Linked DNA regions of Ovis aries. Each later gene encodes a partner of the first gene's protein in a complex. Links are inferred from orthologs where the notes say so. Each region holds a gene or a part of one and is shown in the gene's direction. Other genes may lie near its edges. The genes, in order: TAF3, TAF4 and TAF10.

Region 1 (5,460 bases):
TGAAAATGTTTCCAATTAAAACAGTGTCAGATGTACCATCATTGAATTTCAGAAGCAATTGTTCATGACTGGAAAGGGATGTTCATTGCATTTTCAAGCCTTTGGCTGAAAGTATTGTGTTAGGATGTTTGCATAGTCTCCATAAATAATGTCAGAGCATTGCTTTTGTTATTCGTCATTGTTTTGGAATATAACTATATATACACACACACACACACACATAAACATATATACAGCACAATGTGTGTATAAATATAGAGGTGAATAGTGACAGACAGACTCCTCACTGACTTTCTTGATTAAGCAGTGATTCACTTCAGAGAATAATTAGCATGGCGTGCACACATCTCATGGGCCAGCCGCTCTTTCTGAGCAGGAGCACTGATTATAGTATCTCACTGGCTGAGGCCCAGAACATATCAGGGCCGGCAGAATGAACGGAAATGAACCTGTCAACCACAGAACTTGCTGAGTCCCAGCCTGTCTTCAGGTGGAAAAACTCACCTTGACAGATGCATTCACACGGTTGTCATGAGACCGTTTTCTCATGTTTCCTCCTACTCGGTACTATCAGGTCTAGCTCAAGCCCTGCATTCAGTTGAGTAATAAATCAGCTCTTTGGGCTACGTGGTGTTTCACACAAGCACATGACAAAAAGATTTCAGGCACGTGGCGGTCCTCAGGGAGCCGACACTGTGAGACCACCAAGCATGTAGCCTGAGGTGTGTCCGCCTGGTGGTGGCACGAATCTTTCAGAATAGATGTGCCTGGGAGGCGACAAGCTCGGACTCCTGCCGTTGTCATTAAAAATCGTGCAAGTATTACGTTTCTATACGTAAATACGGGCATTTTGAAAGGAAATTTCAATGAATCATTAAGTGTTTGAGGCACTATCATGATACAGAGGATAAGAAGAAAGTGTCAGAAGTCTTCAGAGAGGATATAAAGACATGAAATATTAATGAGAAAATATTAAATTGGCAATTCAAGACAACAATGGAAGACATGGTACAGACATCTGTGGTCATTAAATCAGTGCATTCAAGGACCAGTTGCCACAGGTGTTTAATTGAGGCCACGTCACCCCAAGATGGGTAAATCGGGGAGGACTTTATGCTCGATCTCCTCGACCTCCATTTCTTTAGCTGTAACCAGGGATTGTTACGCTAGGTGATCCCTGTGGTGTGTTCTAGCTCTAAAATCTTGATTCTCCAGTGGATTTTTGAGTCAACTCCCTGGAGATAGATCAGACTTGCATAAACAGCGTAGACGAAAAGCCTCTGCCCCCTCAGAGACACTTTGTAGGCAGAGGACAAACTGTGATTCGAAGGAAGGACACAGGCCGATTTCGTTGCTGCCCAATCTATTATGGCACTGGAACTGGCACTGACATTCCTTCAGCTCCAGTCTCCCCGTTTCTGACCTACCCAAGCATTGTTTTAGGAGGATGAAACCAAGTCAGGTGTTTTCGAAGAGCCTAGTAAACCGAGAGGGGCTGGGCGCTGTAGCAGATTTCTCAGGTCGCAGGGTCACGGCCTCCTAATTTCAAGAATCAGCAGCAGGACAGGGCATGCATGGCAGCTTCAGGGCACAGGGTACTGGGCTGGCCTTCACCCCAGACAGCTGGCACAGGCCGACTGGTGGTCTCTCTGCTTGAAACTGGAGACTAGGCCCGGGTCAGGGATGTGGCTGCCTACAGAGTTGTTCAGGAAACCTTTACAGCCTTGTCTGCTCTTGCAGAGACTTCCCAGAATGGCAGACCTTAAAATAGTTAGAATTCCGTGAGTTAGAATGAACCGTCTCTGCCCCCCATACACCCATCACACAAACACAAAAAACTGTTTTTCTTCTGCACATCCAGTCAGTGTTGTATCTGAACGTACCAGGAGAGACTACAGCTTTCAAAATCAACTGGATGAAATTATATGCTGTGTGATCAGCAAAACTTTAAAAAATTAACTCTTAGTTATTGCTGGCTTTGAAAGCCTGTCATGGAATTGTCTCTTCCAGATTGGTCTTGTTCATGTGGAATTTGAGGAGGTGGTTCAGTTGGGAATGCTTCTTATTTGGAACTGCTAAGTCAAGTCCAGAGCACAGCGTGTTTGTTGCAAAATAACATGAAAACGTGTGGCTCTTTGGCCTCCTGCGTCCCTTATTTCATTTGCCCTTTAGTTGATTGTACTTTGCTGAAAATGTCATAAAGGGAATGGAAAGTTACTTAGTAACAACTCTTTTATATCCTTGATCTTATCAGCCAGTTCAGGAGGAGGGTTTGGCTAATAAGTAATAAGGCGATATATGCACATAGGTCGCATTTATTAATTCCAGACCTGTGAATGCAATGGAGGGAACAACACAGAGTTGAGCTAGGTAGCTTTCAGAAGTATCAGGCATTAGTAGTCATTCAGAACCTGTGTTTCAGTATTTTTTTAGATAAAGGTGACTAGGTCACATGGCTCACAGAAATGATTATCAAATGTTTTGTTTTTATGACTTTCAAAAGACAGTTTAAAATAGCCATTAGAAATGTCTTGGAAGTTCCCTGATGGCCTAGTGATTAGGACTCGGCACTTCCATTGCCAGGGCCCAGGTTCAATCCCTGGTCAGGGAACTAAGATTTTGCAAGCCATGCAACGTGGCAAAAAAAAAAAAAGTAGAAGAAAGGTCTTATCATTGAACTGTTAGTAGCATTTTTTTTCCCATATGGTGCCAGGATAGTGAGGACCATGATCACAGCTCTAATGAATTGTTAGCTCCTAGGTTTTTCTGTCTGCTCCTTTAGTCTGTCAGTCTGTTAGCTCCACAGGGTGTAGGCAATCCTTATAATGCCCTTTTGGGGATTTCTTTTTTCTCAATGCCTCTCTGGTTTCCCCCACCCCCACCCCCACCCCAGATCCGAGACGAGTGGGGAAACCAGATCTGGATCTGTCCCGGCTGCAACAAGCCCGACGATGGGAGCCCCATGATCGGCTGTGACGACTGTGACGACTGGTACCACTGGTGAGTCCCCTGCGGGACGGGGGGAGGGAGGAGAGGCTCAGCACACGCGTGGCCCCGGCCCGTGCAGGCTCTTCTCCCAGGGCAGCTGTCTCCCGGGAAGAGCGTCTGGAGCAGAATCCCTGTGCCAAGAGAATGGCGTTCGTATTGTTTGCAAAAATTAGTCTTTAGACTGTGGCTCTTCAGCCTAAATTCAGTGTGTCTCTTAGCACACGTATTCTTTAGAAAGGGAAAAGGAGAGTCAAGGGGTTGGTTCCCTTCCCTTTCTTGTCAGTCATTTTCTGTAGCAGCTGCAGAAACACTGAGGGACCCCGTAAACACTGCCATAAAGTGCAGGAGTACAGGGGCAGCTTGAGTGGCTTCCCCGGCTCCTCAGCGCCCTCCCCAAACTGAAGGCGCAGCATCAGGACGCATGCATACCGCCTCGCTGTGTTATCTTGAAAATATCAGATATGAAAAGATAGGCATCCACTTAGTCACATGCTATACAATGTCTCTGAGATAAAAACAAAGCCGTGGCTCAGAAGAATTAGACTGTTTCTGGCTGAAAGGATGAATGAGCTAATTAATGTCTCCAGCAGGGCCTGGGGAAGGGGCTCGTGTAAGGTGATCTCCCACACGCCCAGCAGGAGTGCAGCAGCGTCTGTCTGCCAGAGCTGGTGACTTGGGTGTCCGGTAAATGCACCTTGAAAGTGAAAGTCACTCAGTTGTGTCCGACTCTTTGTGACCCCATGGACTACACTGTCCGTGGAATTCTCCAGGCCAGAATACTGGAGCGGGTAGCCTTTCCCTCTTCCAGGGGATCTTCCCAACCCAGGGATCGAAGCCATAAACCTAACAGGTTATTGAATGATGTGAAATTCCTGAAAAACGTAGGATGAGAAGATGTGTGTCGCTGAAGCCTGTTTGTCTGAAGCGCCTTTTGCTTGGTTCCCGTGTAGGCCCTGCGTGGGGATCATGGCCGCGCCCCCGGAAGAGATGCAGTGGTTCTGCCCCAAGTGCTCCAACAGGAAGAAGGATAAAAAGCACAAGAAGCGGAAGCACCGGGCGCACTGATGCCTGGAGCGGGGGTGCCCACGCCCACCGCATGGCCCCGGACCCTGCGCCCGGCCAGACTGAGGACAGGACACGTGCCCCCCACCCCCGGGGGCTCTGCGAGGGCCCCCGGCCGAGGGCCACGTGGTCGCCCCCGGAGAAAGACTCTTATGCACGGGGCGGGGGGGAGGCCTCGCCTCCGTTTCCTATTACCAGTGACAAGTATTATTAATAAAGACTATAATCTTTCCTTTCGATTTTCCTCAATTCTCTCCAGGGCCTTTTCCGTAAGGTGTTAGCTGAGAAGATGGCGTGTGGCCCGCCCTGACCGTGCCCGAGGGTGACGTGGGTCGGCTGTATGTGTCTCCAGCCTCCTCCCCTCTGTAGTCAGATAATCGTAATCACATGAAAGAAAACTCCAGGGGGAGTGTCAGTAAATATTTTTGTGATGAAAAATATATGAAGCTTCCCCCACCCCACCCCTCGTTTTTAGTACTAACATGTAAAATGTTCAGGCTTTTTGTGAAATACCTTATATTTTTTAAGAAAAAGGTTTCTATCATGTCCTGTTGGCTCTTTTACAATTTGATTTTGTTGACTCTCTCACCTGTCCTCTCTCTCTGTCGTCCCCCAGCTTTGCCCTTTCCTCCAAACTGCTGGTGGTCTTCTCATGGCTTACCCATCTCATCAGCTTGTATGAAAACTCTGCACACCAGGAGATCTCCCCTAATGTAAATAATAAATATTTATGAAGTAGTTATTTTTAAAAAAATTTTTATCGTGTTTAATTCTGGCTTTCTGTGAAACGCGCTGCAGTTTCAGCCACATCTGTAATTACTGCTGTACATAAGCAAAGAAGGCTGGAAAAAAAAGAGCCATACGTAAGTTCAAAGTTACCTACCTTGAACTGAACCCTCGCAGAACACTGGGGGGAGGACCTGAGCAGTTGGAAGGAAAACAAGGCAATTTAAGTCTATGGCTTGTGATTTGAAATTGTTTTGTTATCTCTTCTATTTCTGTAAATTTCTTTGACTTCCTTTTGTTTCAAAGGACATGTAGATTCCCCGAAAGTAAAAAAAAAAAAAAAAAATACTGTAGCATTTTGTGTTTATATTGTTTTATTTCTGCAAATCTGTTCATTGATATTGTGGTTTAAGGCTGAAATGAAGTATATTATGCAATTTTTTTTAAAGAAAACTCATCAAATTTCAGGGTATCACAAAACTTTATTATATTACTATACTGCCCACTATTTATTATATGTTAATAGATGTCTGAGAGAGAAACCAAATATTTTATTTTTAATGTAAAACATCAAATTTAATTTTATTAGCATATTTTAGCAACTTTGGAATACGGACTTTTACTTGATTTTGAAATAATCCCAACTTGGGCCAGTGTAATGGATATCTTGAATGCTAGAATATG
Region 2 (6,385 bases), about 42 Mb from region 1:
GACTCCGATCTGGGTGTTCTGACTGCAGATCACGGTGTACCCCTCTGTTTCCCACTACGGCACCCGGGGCCTGCTTTTGTTTGGCTCACTTAACATTTTCTGATGAGTTGTCAACATTAAAGATCAGATTTTACACATATTCCCACATTTCTGCTCTTGCTCGCAAACCAGATCGTCGGCCCCCGCTGGGCTCAAAGCCCGGTGGGGATGGGACCCAGGCACCCCGAGTTCAAGGTACCCCCAGCCCAGGTTTGTTCCACCCTTTTCCTTTCCTGTGTTTTGAGTAGTCAGCTTCAGGTGCAAAATTCCTATTCTCTCTTTGCAGGGGTTCCCCGACGCGGTCGCCCGGGGAGGCCCCTTCGCAGGCTCCAACCCCCGCGCTCATTGTCTGAACCCGCCCCGGGAGCTGGGCTCGCGGGGGCCGCCGGCTCTTTTGTTAGGCGGGTAGAAAAGATCATTTGTGTGTCAACAGCTTCCCGCATTGTGCTGCGGGCCGTGTGACTGCGGTGTGGCCTGTTCTGCCGGAGGCGCTTCTCTGGGTCTACCCTCCTCCCTCCCCACCCCAAAAGAGAGAGGAAACCACTAGACATGTACTAGAATACCATCTTTCGGTGAAAAAAACAAAAAACGCAGGCGAGAATTTCAGGTGAATTCTTCCTACAGAGAAGGTGCTCGTAAGGTTATTTTAAATAACTTACTTCGTCAAAAGGACAGAACGGGAGAGAAGGACCCCAGGAAAACCTCCAAGCTGGACGCTCCCTTTCCCTACGCGAGCTGCTGGTCCCGGCCGGCACCACCGTCTCACCCAGTGATTTACAGACACTCGCGGCCAGGGGCCGCGCAGCCGGAGGAGATGAGTCACCCTGGCGTGGCCTCGGGCGCCGACCCCTGCCCCGCCCCCGCCGCCCAAGCTGCGGACATCACAGCGCAAGACGCCCGGTCTCGGGCGGACCGAGGCGCCGGTCCGGGGGGCAGGCCCGCGCTCGCCCCGCCCGGTGCCCCGAGCTTCGGGGCCTGCGCCCGCCCGGGAGCAATGGCGACGACGCCCAGGCTACCTCGCTGACCCAGCCCCCAGGCAGTGCCCTCAAGGGGTGCCGGGTTCCCGCGGGCTGCGGCGGCCTTAGCTCCGATATAGGCGTCCCCGCTCCCTCGCCCGCCCGCCCGCCCGCCCGGCGATCCCATCAGCTCCGGCCGCAGCCATTTTGGAGCAAGCGGAGACAAAGAGCCAGTCATTGCTGCCGCCCCCACCAGGCCCCAGCCGCGGTCCCCGCCCGTCTTGTCCTCCGGGTCGTCAGCCTCTGGCCCGTCCGGCAACCTGCACCCCACCATCCCCGCCAGACCAAGGACTCCCGGGCCCCCAGCCCACTAGCCCGCAAACCCCCGGCCGCCCGCCCGCGCCTCGGCTTCTGCCGCTCGCAGCCATTGGCCGCGCCTTTTAAGTGCACGGTACGGCCAATCACGGGACGCCGGGCAGCCGGGCGGGGGGGCGCCGCGGCCAATGGTGAGGCGCCGGGCGGCGGGCGGGGGCGGGCACGCCGCCGCGCCTGCGCACCGCGTTGCCACCGCCCTCCCCCCCGCCCGGCCGCCCGCGCCCCCCGCCCGGCCGCCGCCCCCGCCCCGCCCGGCGCGCGCCGCCCCCCGCCCGCCCCCGCGGCCGCCCGCCCGCCCGCCCGCCCGCCCGCGCGGAGCCTCCTCCCCGCCCAGCGCCGGCCGAGCGGCGGCGGCGGCGGGCCGAGGAGGAAAGATGGCGGCGGGCTCGGATCTGCTGGACGAGGTCTTCTTCAACAGCGAGGTGGACGAGAAAGTGGTGAGCGACCTGGTGGGCTCGCTCGAGTCGCAGCTGGCGGCCAGCGCGGCCCACCACCACCACCTCGCGCCCCGCGCGCCCGAGGCGCGGGCCGCGGCCGCCGGCGCGCTCGGGAACCATGTCGGAGCCGGAGCCGTGCCGGCCGAGGGCGCGCCCGCAGCGGCGCCGGAGCCGCCCCCCGCAGGTAGAGCGCGGCGCGGCCTGAGCGCGGGCGGCCGCCGGCCGGGCCCGCGTCCTCACCGCGCCGCCCCGCTTGTCTCCGCAGGGCCCGCCGCGAAGCTGAGCGCGCTCGAGGCCGGCGCGGGCGCCGGGGCCGGAGCCGGAGCGGGCGCCGCGGCCGGGGCCTGCCCGCCGGGGGCAGCGGCCGCTCCCGAGCCCGCCGCCAAGCCTGCCGCCCGCAACGGCCCGCCCGGCGGCCCCGGCGCCGCGCAAACTTTGAATGGGAGCGCCGCGCTGGGGAACTCGCTCCGCGCCGCCGCCGCACCTGCTGTCAGCCTGCTCCACAACGGGCCCGCGCCCGCGCCGCCGCCGCCCAAGCCCGCCGCCGCCACTGTCATCCAGACGCCGCCCTTCCTCGGCGCCCCCGCCGCGCCCGCGCCCCGCGTCCCCTCGCCCCCCGCGGCCCCTGCGCCCGCCGCGCCCCCTGCGCCCCCCGCGCCCGCCGCCGCCGCCCCGCCGCCGCCGCCGCCCGCGGCCGCCAGCCTGGCCCGGCCGCCCGGGCCCCCCGCCGGACCCCCGGCGGCCGCGCAGAACGGGGGCAGCGCTGCGCCCGCGCCCGCCCCCACGCCCGCCCCGGCCCCCGCGCCCGCGCCCGCCCCGGCGCCCGCCGCCAACAGTCAGCCCGGGCCCGCCGCCGCGCCCGCGCAGGTGGCCAAGGCCGACTCGCCCAAGACCGCGCTGCAGCCGGCGCCCCCGCCGCCGCAGACCCTGGCGACCAGCTGCCCGGCCGGCGCGGGGTCCGGCATGATCCTCGGGCCAACTATGCAAGGGGCACTGCCCGCCGCCGCCGCCGCCGGCCTCCCGCCGCCGGCCCCGGGCACCCCCACCGGGCTGCCCAAGGGCTCGGCCAGCGCGGTGACCCAGAGCCTGCCCAGGACGCCCTCGGCCACCACCGGCGGGATCCGGGCCACGCTGACGCCCACGGTCCTCGCCCCACGCCTGCCGCAGCCGCCGCAGAACCCCACCAACATCCAGAACTTCCAGCTGCCCCCAGGTGAGTGGCCGCGCCGCCGAGCGGCTGTGTGTGTGCTCCCCAGCCGGGAGTCCAGGAAGTTGTCTGGCTGGCAGGACGCGGAGGTCATGAAGCCCTGCCGGTGCGTCTCTGCCCCGGTCCGGGCCGGTCCCGGGCCTGTATGTGCTCTAGTGTTGCGTGATGTGGCTGCTGGGGCCTCTTAGCTGTGCGGGGCTTGGCTTCTACTCTCCACTTTGCGTTGGGGAACTTTCTCTGTCGGGACTTCCGCCGAGTGGGCCCTCTTCTCTCCTCCTGGCCTTGTGTGTCCCTGCCCGGTGCCCCCACAGTGGACAGCAGTAGCAGCTGGCGCTCTCGGGACAACTTGCTGGGTTATTCAGTCTGGGCCGGTGACTTCCCCACGTTTGGCTGTTCTCTCCCTGGTTTCTGGGATCAGGCATATGGTTTGTGTCCTCACTGAACTCTTCTGCTCTGTTACTGGGCTGGTCTGTGATTGGTGTCCCCTTCTGGTGGTCTAGGGACCCCCTTTCCCGGTGAGGTCAGGGGAGTGACGCCCCCTCCGTGAGGCTGGGCAAGCCTGCGTGGAAAGCTTTTGCTCCCCTGCTGACACCAGGATGGCAGAGTTCCCAGGTGAGCTTGTAGGGATCCCGGGGCACACACCCTTCCTGGTCACAGCCCTTGCCTCACGCGGCTCCTGCAGTCGTTTTTCAGCACTTCCCGTAGTGGCCGTGTGGTTCTGCACGGAGTCCTCACTTGGAGGACGCCCGGTTACCTTGATTGTTACCAATGCAGTCAGCGGTGGGCTGGGGCTCCCCGTTCAGTGAGTCTTTTGGAGGTACAGATGGTGTAGGAGGACAGGCAGTGTCTCCAAACCTACACTCCATCTTCTGTTCTCTGGGCAGCTTTTTAAGGCTTTCTAGGTCCCCGTGGCATTAAGTGTGTCCCGCTGCTTTCTTTCGGGCTTGCTGGGCAGAGAGAAACCCCAGCGCTGGAGGCTCCCAGTCTCTGCTTCCATCCCCGGCCTGGCCTGCGTGGACGCAGAGCGCTCCTCCCCTGCCGTGTAGTAACGTGTGCTGGTGGCAGGAGCAGTGGAAGCAGCACCGCCTGTGTGTGCGTCCCCTCGTGCTTTCCGAAGCAGCCGTTGGTCACCTTGAGAGGATTTCAGCGTCTTAGAAGGAAGGTCTTGTTGTCACAGTGCCGTGAGGTTTGGAGCGGTGGCGGCACCTGGCAGGGATCTGATTTCACACCACAGAAGGGAGGAGGCAAGGTTCCAGCCAAGAGTGCTGTTTGGGGGTGGTCGTGAGGGCTGCCCTGATCCCAGGAGGAGGTGATGTGAAGTAGGTACCTGAGAGGTGCAGGGTGCCTCTTACAACATGCTTTGTTTTTGAGTTTGTAGGAGGTTTTCATTAAAGGTTCTGTTTTGCACATTATGTGTATTTTGACCTTTTAGTGGAAAATATGTTTGATCTCTAGTGACGCTTAAAAAAGAGAAGTCATGGTGGTAACAGGTTATGTAAAACGTCAAAATACTTTTTAGTTACTCATTAAAGTATCCCCTCAGTGGTTCTCAGCCCCTGCCCCACTCCTGGCCAGGACAGTTCCCTGCATGACGCTTTTGTTCTGAAAACTGTCAGTGAAGTTTGTGAGTCAGTGGAGCTGGTGAGGCTGGCGCTGTGCCCGCGGAGGAGGCCCCCCGGGGCACTCGTGTGATGCCTGTAGGTGTGGCGGTTTGGGGCTGACTGGATCCCCTCGCCTCTGCATAGGTGCAGCCTTCACTGCCTGCCGCCTTCTGGGGGAGGAAGCTGTGGTTCTGAAAGGGCGCCTCTGTCAGCTTTGTCATGATTGACCCTGGACGCACTTTCATCTCCTGTTCTACCGGCGGTGTTAAGGATGTCTGCATGTGACAAGTAGGCGACTCCTTGAAGAAAACTGTAAAAGTGCTGACTCTTTGCATGAGTTCTCATGAGTCTTTGCGGTAGTCCCGTGTGTGTGTGTGTGTGTGTGCGTGCGCGTGCGTGTGTGTGTGTATGAGTAGAGAACAGCTCATGTTGACATTTGGGTGACAAATGCGGAGAGCTGTGCTTTAAAGGGGCCAAATGCTTTCTAGAAAATAAACTCACATCCATCTCTTCATGCTTCCCCTACCCCCACAGTCGATCCGCTCATTTGGAGCTCTGATTAATTCTGTTCCATCATTTTAATAAAAGCAGGAGCAGAAAAAGCATAGTTAAAACTACTACCAGTTCCCCACAACAAAGTACTTTCTTTTAAATAGTACAAATTAATTTTATAAATCAAAGTGACAGATTATGAATATTCTAGTTACCTCATGTAATTGATCGATTGGAAGACACTAAGTTCTACTTGAGGTCTCCTGTTCATTGAAAGCTCTCATTATAAAAATGTATAAAGCAGAGGTGGAATTAACTTGTGAAAATAGCTATCGCCTGGCTGATAATGCACTCTGGTTAGTACTCAGGGGTTAGGGGTGGGCAGGGTTTTCAAAGCTACACATAGGTGTCAAGTGAAATAACAGACTGTTGGCAATTGAGTACCGGTGAGAGAGGCCTGCCCCACTGTCGGTGGGTGGTGGTGATGGAAACAGAGGGACAGAGGCTTCACAGAGTCCCTGAGGGCCGCCAGGCCTTTCGTATTTCATCCTCCCAGCCCACTGTGAGCTCCTGTTGAATTTGGTTTCAGTAGATTCAGTTTTGATGTCTTTGTCAGGATGGTTTTGTAAAGAGACGTTGATGTTATTGTGATTAATTTACTTGTTTGAAGGAACCAGAGTCTCAGTTTTAATCTGCTGTGGGGAATATTGAGAACACGTGAGTCTTCAGAGAGATTGTTGTAGCAAAGGCGGTGGTCCCAAGAACAGTGAAGAGCACTAGTTAGTTCTATACAGCTTAGAGTAGTCATAACATAAAAGTAATATTATGATTGTAGTTGAAAGGAGAGAAAAGTGATATGACACCAAAATTAGCATGTGCGCAAATGGTTTTAAGAGATCTTTTCAGATAGGTGTTACGTTAGAGATGCTCATTTCTAAAGGTTATCTTTTGTTGGCAAGTTTGCATATTCAGTAGTGTGTGTCTCTGTCTGCTCTGCTTTCATGGAGAATTTGTCCTCCTGTGATGCTCAGGTTTGGCTGAAGTACAGTTCTCATTCCAGGAGAGAACGCCTTTCCTCTATATCCTGGCTTCAGGACTGACTTGGCATGGGGCTGACTTAAGATGAATAGTCTTAAGGTGGCTGTGCTTGGAAAGACGGGGTCTAGGGTGGGGTTCCCATCCTCGGTGAATGGAACTGTTGGATGGTGGGGAAAGAGGAAGAAGAACCTGGGGGCCAGCTTCTGTGTAGACCGGGTTGAGTTCTGGGATGGTCGACTC
Region 3 (5,657 bases), on another chromosome or scaffold:
CTAAGTCGCTTCAGTCGTGTCCGACTCTTTGTGACCCCATGGACTGTAGCCTGCCAGGCTCCTTTGTCTTTGGGGTTCTCCAGGCAAGAATTCTGGAGTGGGTTGCCAGGCCCTCCTCCAGGGGATCTCCCTGACCCAGGGATGGAACCTGCATCTCTTAAATCTCCTGCATTGGCAGGCATGTTTTCCACCACTAGTTTATCTCTAAATAACATGCTTATGTTGCTGTTTATTGATTTCCCCCTGCCCAATTATAGCCATTACTGACTTCCTATTAGCTTGTGATCATTCTTCTTCCTTGTCCCAATCACTCAAAATCCGCACCACCCATTCTTTTGTCCTCTCGATACAATTCTATTTTTGTCTGAGCTGCATACAGGATTTGCAATGGTACAACTGTGTAAATGCTAATCATACCTAATCCATGTAGTATCCTTGCTCTATCCTTTGTCTTTTGCTCTTCTCACTTGACTCATTGTCCACTGAAACAAATCAATGACTGGCATCCACAGCCATCACCATCTCACTAAATCGGACTTTCCATCCTACAGGGATTGATACCTCAAAAGCAAGATGTGTAATTCTCAATAGTTCATCTCCGTTCTTCCCAATCCCAAACTGTTCTCTTTTCTTATTTATAAATGACACTATGCTTGACACTTCCAACTGAGCCAGAAACCTAAAGTATCATCCAAGTTTCCCATTTCCTTCACCTCCTCCCATCATCTCCTTGTCAACAAGTCCTACTGACTCTATCTCTTAAATACATCTTTATCAACCCAAAAGTTCTTCCAATTATATTTCCAAAGTGTATCTTGAATTCATCTACTTCTCTCCAGCTCCACTGCTACTACATGAGCTGTGAGCCATATTCCCGCTCCTCTGAATTGAGGCCCTTGCAAGAAGTGCCCTTACATCCTGCCTTTCCCTAAACCATCTACCAGTTCTTTATTCACTAAGTTGTGTCTGACTCTTTTGCAACCCCATGGACTATAACCCACCAGGCTCCTCTGTCCATGGGACTTCCCAGGCAAGAATACAGAGTGGATTGCCACTTCCTTCTCCAGGGTTCTTCCTGACCCAGGGATGGAACATGGGTATCTTGCATTGGCAGACATGTTCTTTACCACTGAGCCACAAGGGAAGCCCCAAAACCAACTATCAGAGCAAATCTCATGAGGTCATCTACTTAATTAAGAGCCTTCAAAGATTACTGGATATAGGTCAAGCTTTTTATCATGACTTACAAACCTATCTCTTTACTTGCTATTTGTTTCCAAGTAACAAATTGTTTACCCTTCCCGGTCTCCCCACACTCCCCTCCATGCACTTTCATTCACTGTTGCTCAAGATATTCTGTGCCCTAACATTACCCCTGGCTTCCTGTGCCTGGCTGAGGTCCAGAATTCTTTCAAAACTCAGCTCACCTCTTGTGAATCTTTTGGCTCCCTGAAGCTAGTTGATGTGGGTATGACAGAAAAGTCCTAGATTCTTGGTTCTGATATAGACTAGAGAGAGCCTGGGGGAAGTAAGTTCAACTCTTGGAGACTTTTTCCTCATCTGTTAAGTGAGGATATTGATACCTGCCTCTAATATTCAGGAAATCATTAAGTGGAATAAACTTAATGGAATGCCTAACACACAGATGTAGGCAGCAACTATTAGTTCCCTTCCTCCCTTGCACTGCACACCCTGTGTCTACCTCCAGTATTTTAACTCCCATATATTGGTGAAATGGCAAGTTTAACTGTTAATGCCTCCCTTTGCAAGACCACTGGTGCCCGGAGGAGTAGAACCTTCTCCTACTTAACTCTGTATTTGCAGACCCTAGCTCAGGACTGACAAAAATAAATTTTTGCTGTGTTGAAAACCCCACTCTTTCACTAGCCGTGATTTTACATAAATTGTTTATTAAGACTGAAAGACAGCCATCCCTCTGTATCCTCGGGTTCTCCATCCACAGATTCACCCAACCGTGAACTGAAGATATATATATTTTTTAATTCCAATTATAAAAGACGAAACTTGAATTTACCATGCACCAGTAAACTATTCACATCGCATTGGATATTATAAGCAATCTAGAGATTATATAGAGTATACAGTGCAAATACTATGCCATTTCATATAACGGACTTGAGCATCCACGGATTTTGGTATACATGGGTTGGGGACGGGAGTCGGGGGAGTCCCGGAACCAATCCTACCAACCCTTCACCACCTATACGGACGGTGGACTGTACCTCTCTCCCCATCTGCAGCAGCACTGTGTCAGCTGTCCGGTTACCTTCACTTTGGGCAGCTGGCGGGGAAAGAGGCTATTCAACTCCACTACAAACCCTTAAAAGGCTGGATAAAGGAACTTAGAAAAGATGCAGACACGCAGGCGACCAACAGTAGAGAGGTGTCGGGGCGATGAGCATCAAAGCAAGAATTTTAGACGTCAGGCTGGGTGAGGGGGCCTCAAGCCCATAGAAGAGAATCCTCGACATTGAGGGGTTCCCATCCCAGCGGATCCACACTGGAGAACCGCGGGTCCGGACGCGAAATGTCCGCGCCAGCCCAGTTCCGCAACACTTGGTCTCCGCCCTCCCGCCTTTGTCAGGTAGCGGCTGGATGGGCGGGGAATAAAGGAAGGAGGCCTAAGGGAGGAGCGAACGTGGCGTGGGAGGAACGAGTCGTGGGGCGCGTGACGTCACCCCTGGTGTGTGCGTAAGGTGAACGGAAGCGGAAGCGGCTCTGTTCGCCGCCTCTCCCACCGGCCCGATGAGCTGCAGCGGCTCCGGCGCGGACCCCGAGGCGGCGCCGGCCTCCGCCGCCTCGGCCCCGGGCCCGGCGCCCGCGGTCTCGGCCCCCGCCGCGCTGCCCGCCGGCACCGCCGCGGAGAACAAGGCCAGCCCCGCGGGGACGTCAGGGGGGCCTGGGGCTGGAGCCGCGGCAGGGGGCACTGGAGCCGTGGCGGCGCGGGCCGGGGAGCCTGCCGAGCGGCGCGGGGCGGGTGAGGGCCGGGACGGGTGAGGGCGAGGGCCGCGCTTTGGGCTGGGCCCAGCGGCGGGTGAGGGCAGAGGGTAAGACACACCTAGCGGAACCCTCGAGCCTCCCACCTCCGTGTCTCAGTTTGCTGGTTTTCCTCCAGCTCCAGTGACGACCGGCGGCGCGGCGCCCCCGGAGGGGGCCATGTCTAACGGGGTTTACGTGCTGCCAAGCGCGGCCAACGGAGAGGTGAAGCCAGTGGTGTCCAGCACGCCTCTAGTGGACTTCCTGATGCAGCTGGAGGATTACACGCCTACGGTGGGCTTCCTGCCTGAACAAGGCTAATGACTCGCTGTCACGCCAACTTCTGCCACACCATCTGGATTTGCAGCATCCTCTTGTGTTTCTCTTCCTAGCTTTTGTGATTTTTCCCTTCTGCCCACCCAAACTGGGAGCTTCCTGATAGCCAGGCCTGCCCTCCATTTCCCTTACCCCGACTCTCAGCCCCGCTGTACACAGGGCTAACGCTTACAGTCGTCTAATTGATTTCTCAGATCCCTGATGCAGTGACTGGTTACTACCTGAACCGTGCTGGCTTTGAGGCCTCCGACCCACGCATGTGAGTAAACTCTGGGCAGGTTAGAGTGTTGGGTGTTTGTGTGGAGTTTATTGTCTATGCTCTTCTCATACCATTTTTTTCTCTCCAGAATTCGGCTCATCTCCCTAGCTGCCCAGAAATTCATCTCAGATATTGCCAACGATGCCCTACAGCACTGCAAAATGAAGGGCACAGCCTCTGGCAGCTCCCGAAGCAAGAGCAAGGTGTGAGGGGAGGCTCATTGATTCAGTAATTACTTCCTACAGCAGCAGAGGCTTAAATTATCCTGAAACCCCTTTGAGGGAAATTAAGCCTTAGGGGAGGTGAAAGACCTACTCAGGGTCACCTGCCTGGGATTGAAATCTGGAATTCCTGTGTTCAGCTGGTGCTCTTCCCTCTTCCCTCAGGACCGCAAGTACACTCTAACCATGGAGGACTTGACCCCTGCCCTCAGCGAGTATGGCATCAATGTGAAGAAGCCGCACTACTTCACCTGAGCCACCCAGTCTAAATGTACTTGTCTGTTCTCTTGTCCCCACACCAGCCTGTTTTCATAATAAACTTTATTGTGACAGGCAGGGCTGATCCCTCCCATGCTGGGAGACACCGTGTGGCAAGTGACAAAGCTTTGAGCCCATTCCCTTTTGGGGCCACAGTGGTAGGGATGGGGGCAGGGGATGGGCCCCATGGCTGGGGTAGTACCATGACTAGTGGCAGGGGAGGCAACCAGAGGCCTACTGCTTTGGGGAGGTGCACTCCCCTAACCGTGTCCTGACACCTCTGGAGTTCAGATAAGGACTTTCCAGCTCTACTTGTCCTGCATCTTCTCCAGGATAGGCACGATCATGTCAAACTTGGGCCGCTTAGCAGGGTCTTCATTCATGCAGATCTTCATGAGTTTACAAACGTGGGGGGAAATGCCTGGTGGGATGGTAGGCCGAAGGCCTTCCAATGCCACCTGCAAACACAAGGAAAAACAAGGTGAGTCTCAGAACTTGAGTCTCATGTCGGGAGAGACGTCTAGCCCTCAGGACAGGATTCTGTGTATTTGAATCAATGTGGCAGGAGCCCAGCCCCACTACAATTATTGTCACTACCACCACAAGTATATCCAGTTATGCTCTCACCTTCATTCCAATTTCCATGTTGGAGAGGTCAGCAAAGGGTACCTCCCGTGTCACCAGTTCCCACAGAAGCACTGCAAAACTCCACATATCTGCTGAGCGTCTGTTTGTGTCTTCAGGCTTCTTTTGCAGAGCTAGAGGGATAGGACTTATCTGTTCCAGCTGCTTGTCCTGTCTGTGTTCCCTTCCATTACTACTGAGCTGCCCCTTCTCTGCCTCACATCATAATGCCATCACTCACCTTCAGGAGCCACCCAGGCAGGTGCATACATGCGCCCGGGGCACTGGAAGGAGAACTTGACGTCGGCCATACTGATTCGAGCAGTCATGTCCTCATCAATCTGAGGAAGAGAAGATAGTTGTGTGGAAGGAGGTAAGTCCTATTCTAGGGAAAGGACCTCTGGGGCTTGGGCCGGGAGTGAAGTTGTGATCTCACCATTACACTACGGCTGTTGAGTGCATGTCGTGGGATGAGGGGCTCTAGTGTGTGTAGGAAGGCCATGCCCCTTGCCATGTCCAATGCAAACTTCACAGCCTGGCTCTGGTCCACAACGAAATCTAAGTGAGAAGGCAAGAGTTAAATCATTTGGAGAGGCTCACAGACTTTCCTTCCCCACACCCTGCTGCAGTGAGATTTGGCACTCCCTACTCACTGGTGCCTTCATGTAGCACATTGTACAGGGATCCGTATGGCATCCAGTGTGTGATGAGGGTCGGGTGAGGAGCAGGTGGAGACTGACAGGCACCAAGCACTGGGAGCACATTGGGATGTGAGAAAATCCTGGAAGAGGGAGAGAATGCCCCTGGCTGAGATCCAGCATAAAAGATCTCCCTCTGGGTGCTGACAGGGCTCCTTGAAATCAAGGCTTCCAGTTTAGGCCTTGCCCCACCTGAGCCGGGGACACTCCTCATTGAAGTCCCTGCTCTTCCTTGTACTCCAGTCTCGAACCTTTAGCATCTTC

What was found.
Region 2: TAF3 (region 1) and TAF4 share a complex: the UniProt entries of both Homo sapiens proteins name them as parts of the TFIID basal transcription factor complex. The link is inferred for Ovis aries from reciprocal best matches to the Homo sapiens genes TAF3 and TAF4.
Region 3: TAF3 (region 1) and TAF10 share a complex: the UniProt entries of both Homo sapiens proteins name them as parts of the TFIID basal transcription factor complex. The link is inferred for Ovis aries from reciprocal best matches to the Homo sapiens genes TAF3 and TAF10.

What each region holds. Positions count from the first base shown.
Region 1 is NC_056066.1:12,341,097-12,346,556, forward strand, and holds part of TAF3 (transcription initiation factor TFIID subunit 3), read left to right. Parts: intron 1-2,539; exon of another isoform or gene 2,540-2,611; intron 2,612-2,893; coding exon 2,894-3,000; intron 3,001-3,938; coding exon 3,939-4,053; 3' UTR 4,054-5,460. UniProt on the Homo sapiens protein: The TFIID basal transcription factor complex plays a major role in the initiation of RNA polymerase II (Pol II)-dependent transcription.
Region 2 is NC_056066.1:54,789,769-54,796,153, forward strand, and holds the start of TAF4 (transcription initiation factor TFIID subunit 4), read left to right. Parts: upstream 1-1,684; 5' UTR 1,685-1,744; coding exon 1,745-3,020; intron 3,021-6,385. UniProt on the Homo sapiens protein: The TFIID basal transcription factor complex plays a major role in the initiation of RNA polymerase II (Pol II)-dependent transcription.
Region 3 is NC_056068.1:46,194,216-46,199,872, forward strand, and holds TAF10 (transcription initiation factor TFIID subunit 10), read left to right. Parts: upstream 1-2,741; 5' UTR 2,742-2,766; coding exon 2,767-2,998; intron 2,999-3,136; coding exon 3,137-3,291; intron 3,292-3,527; coding exon 3,528-3,592; intron 3,593-3,680; coding exon 3,681-3,795; intron 3,796-3,978; coding exon 3,979-4,068; 3' UTR 4,069-4,149; downstream 4,150-5,657. Other genes in the region: ILK (integrin-linked protein kinase), read right to left, coding at 4,380-4,529, 4,699-4,829, 4,937-5,036, 5,132-5,253, 5,349-5,476, 5,586-5,657. UniProt on the Homo sapiens protein: The TFIID basal transcription factor complex plays a major role in the initiation of RNA polymerase II (Pol II)-dependent transcription.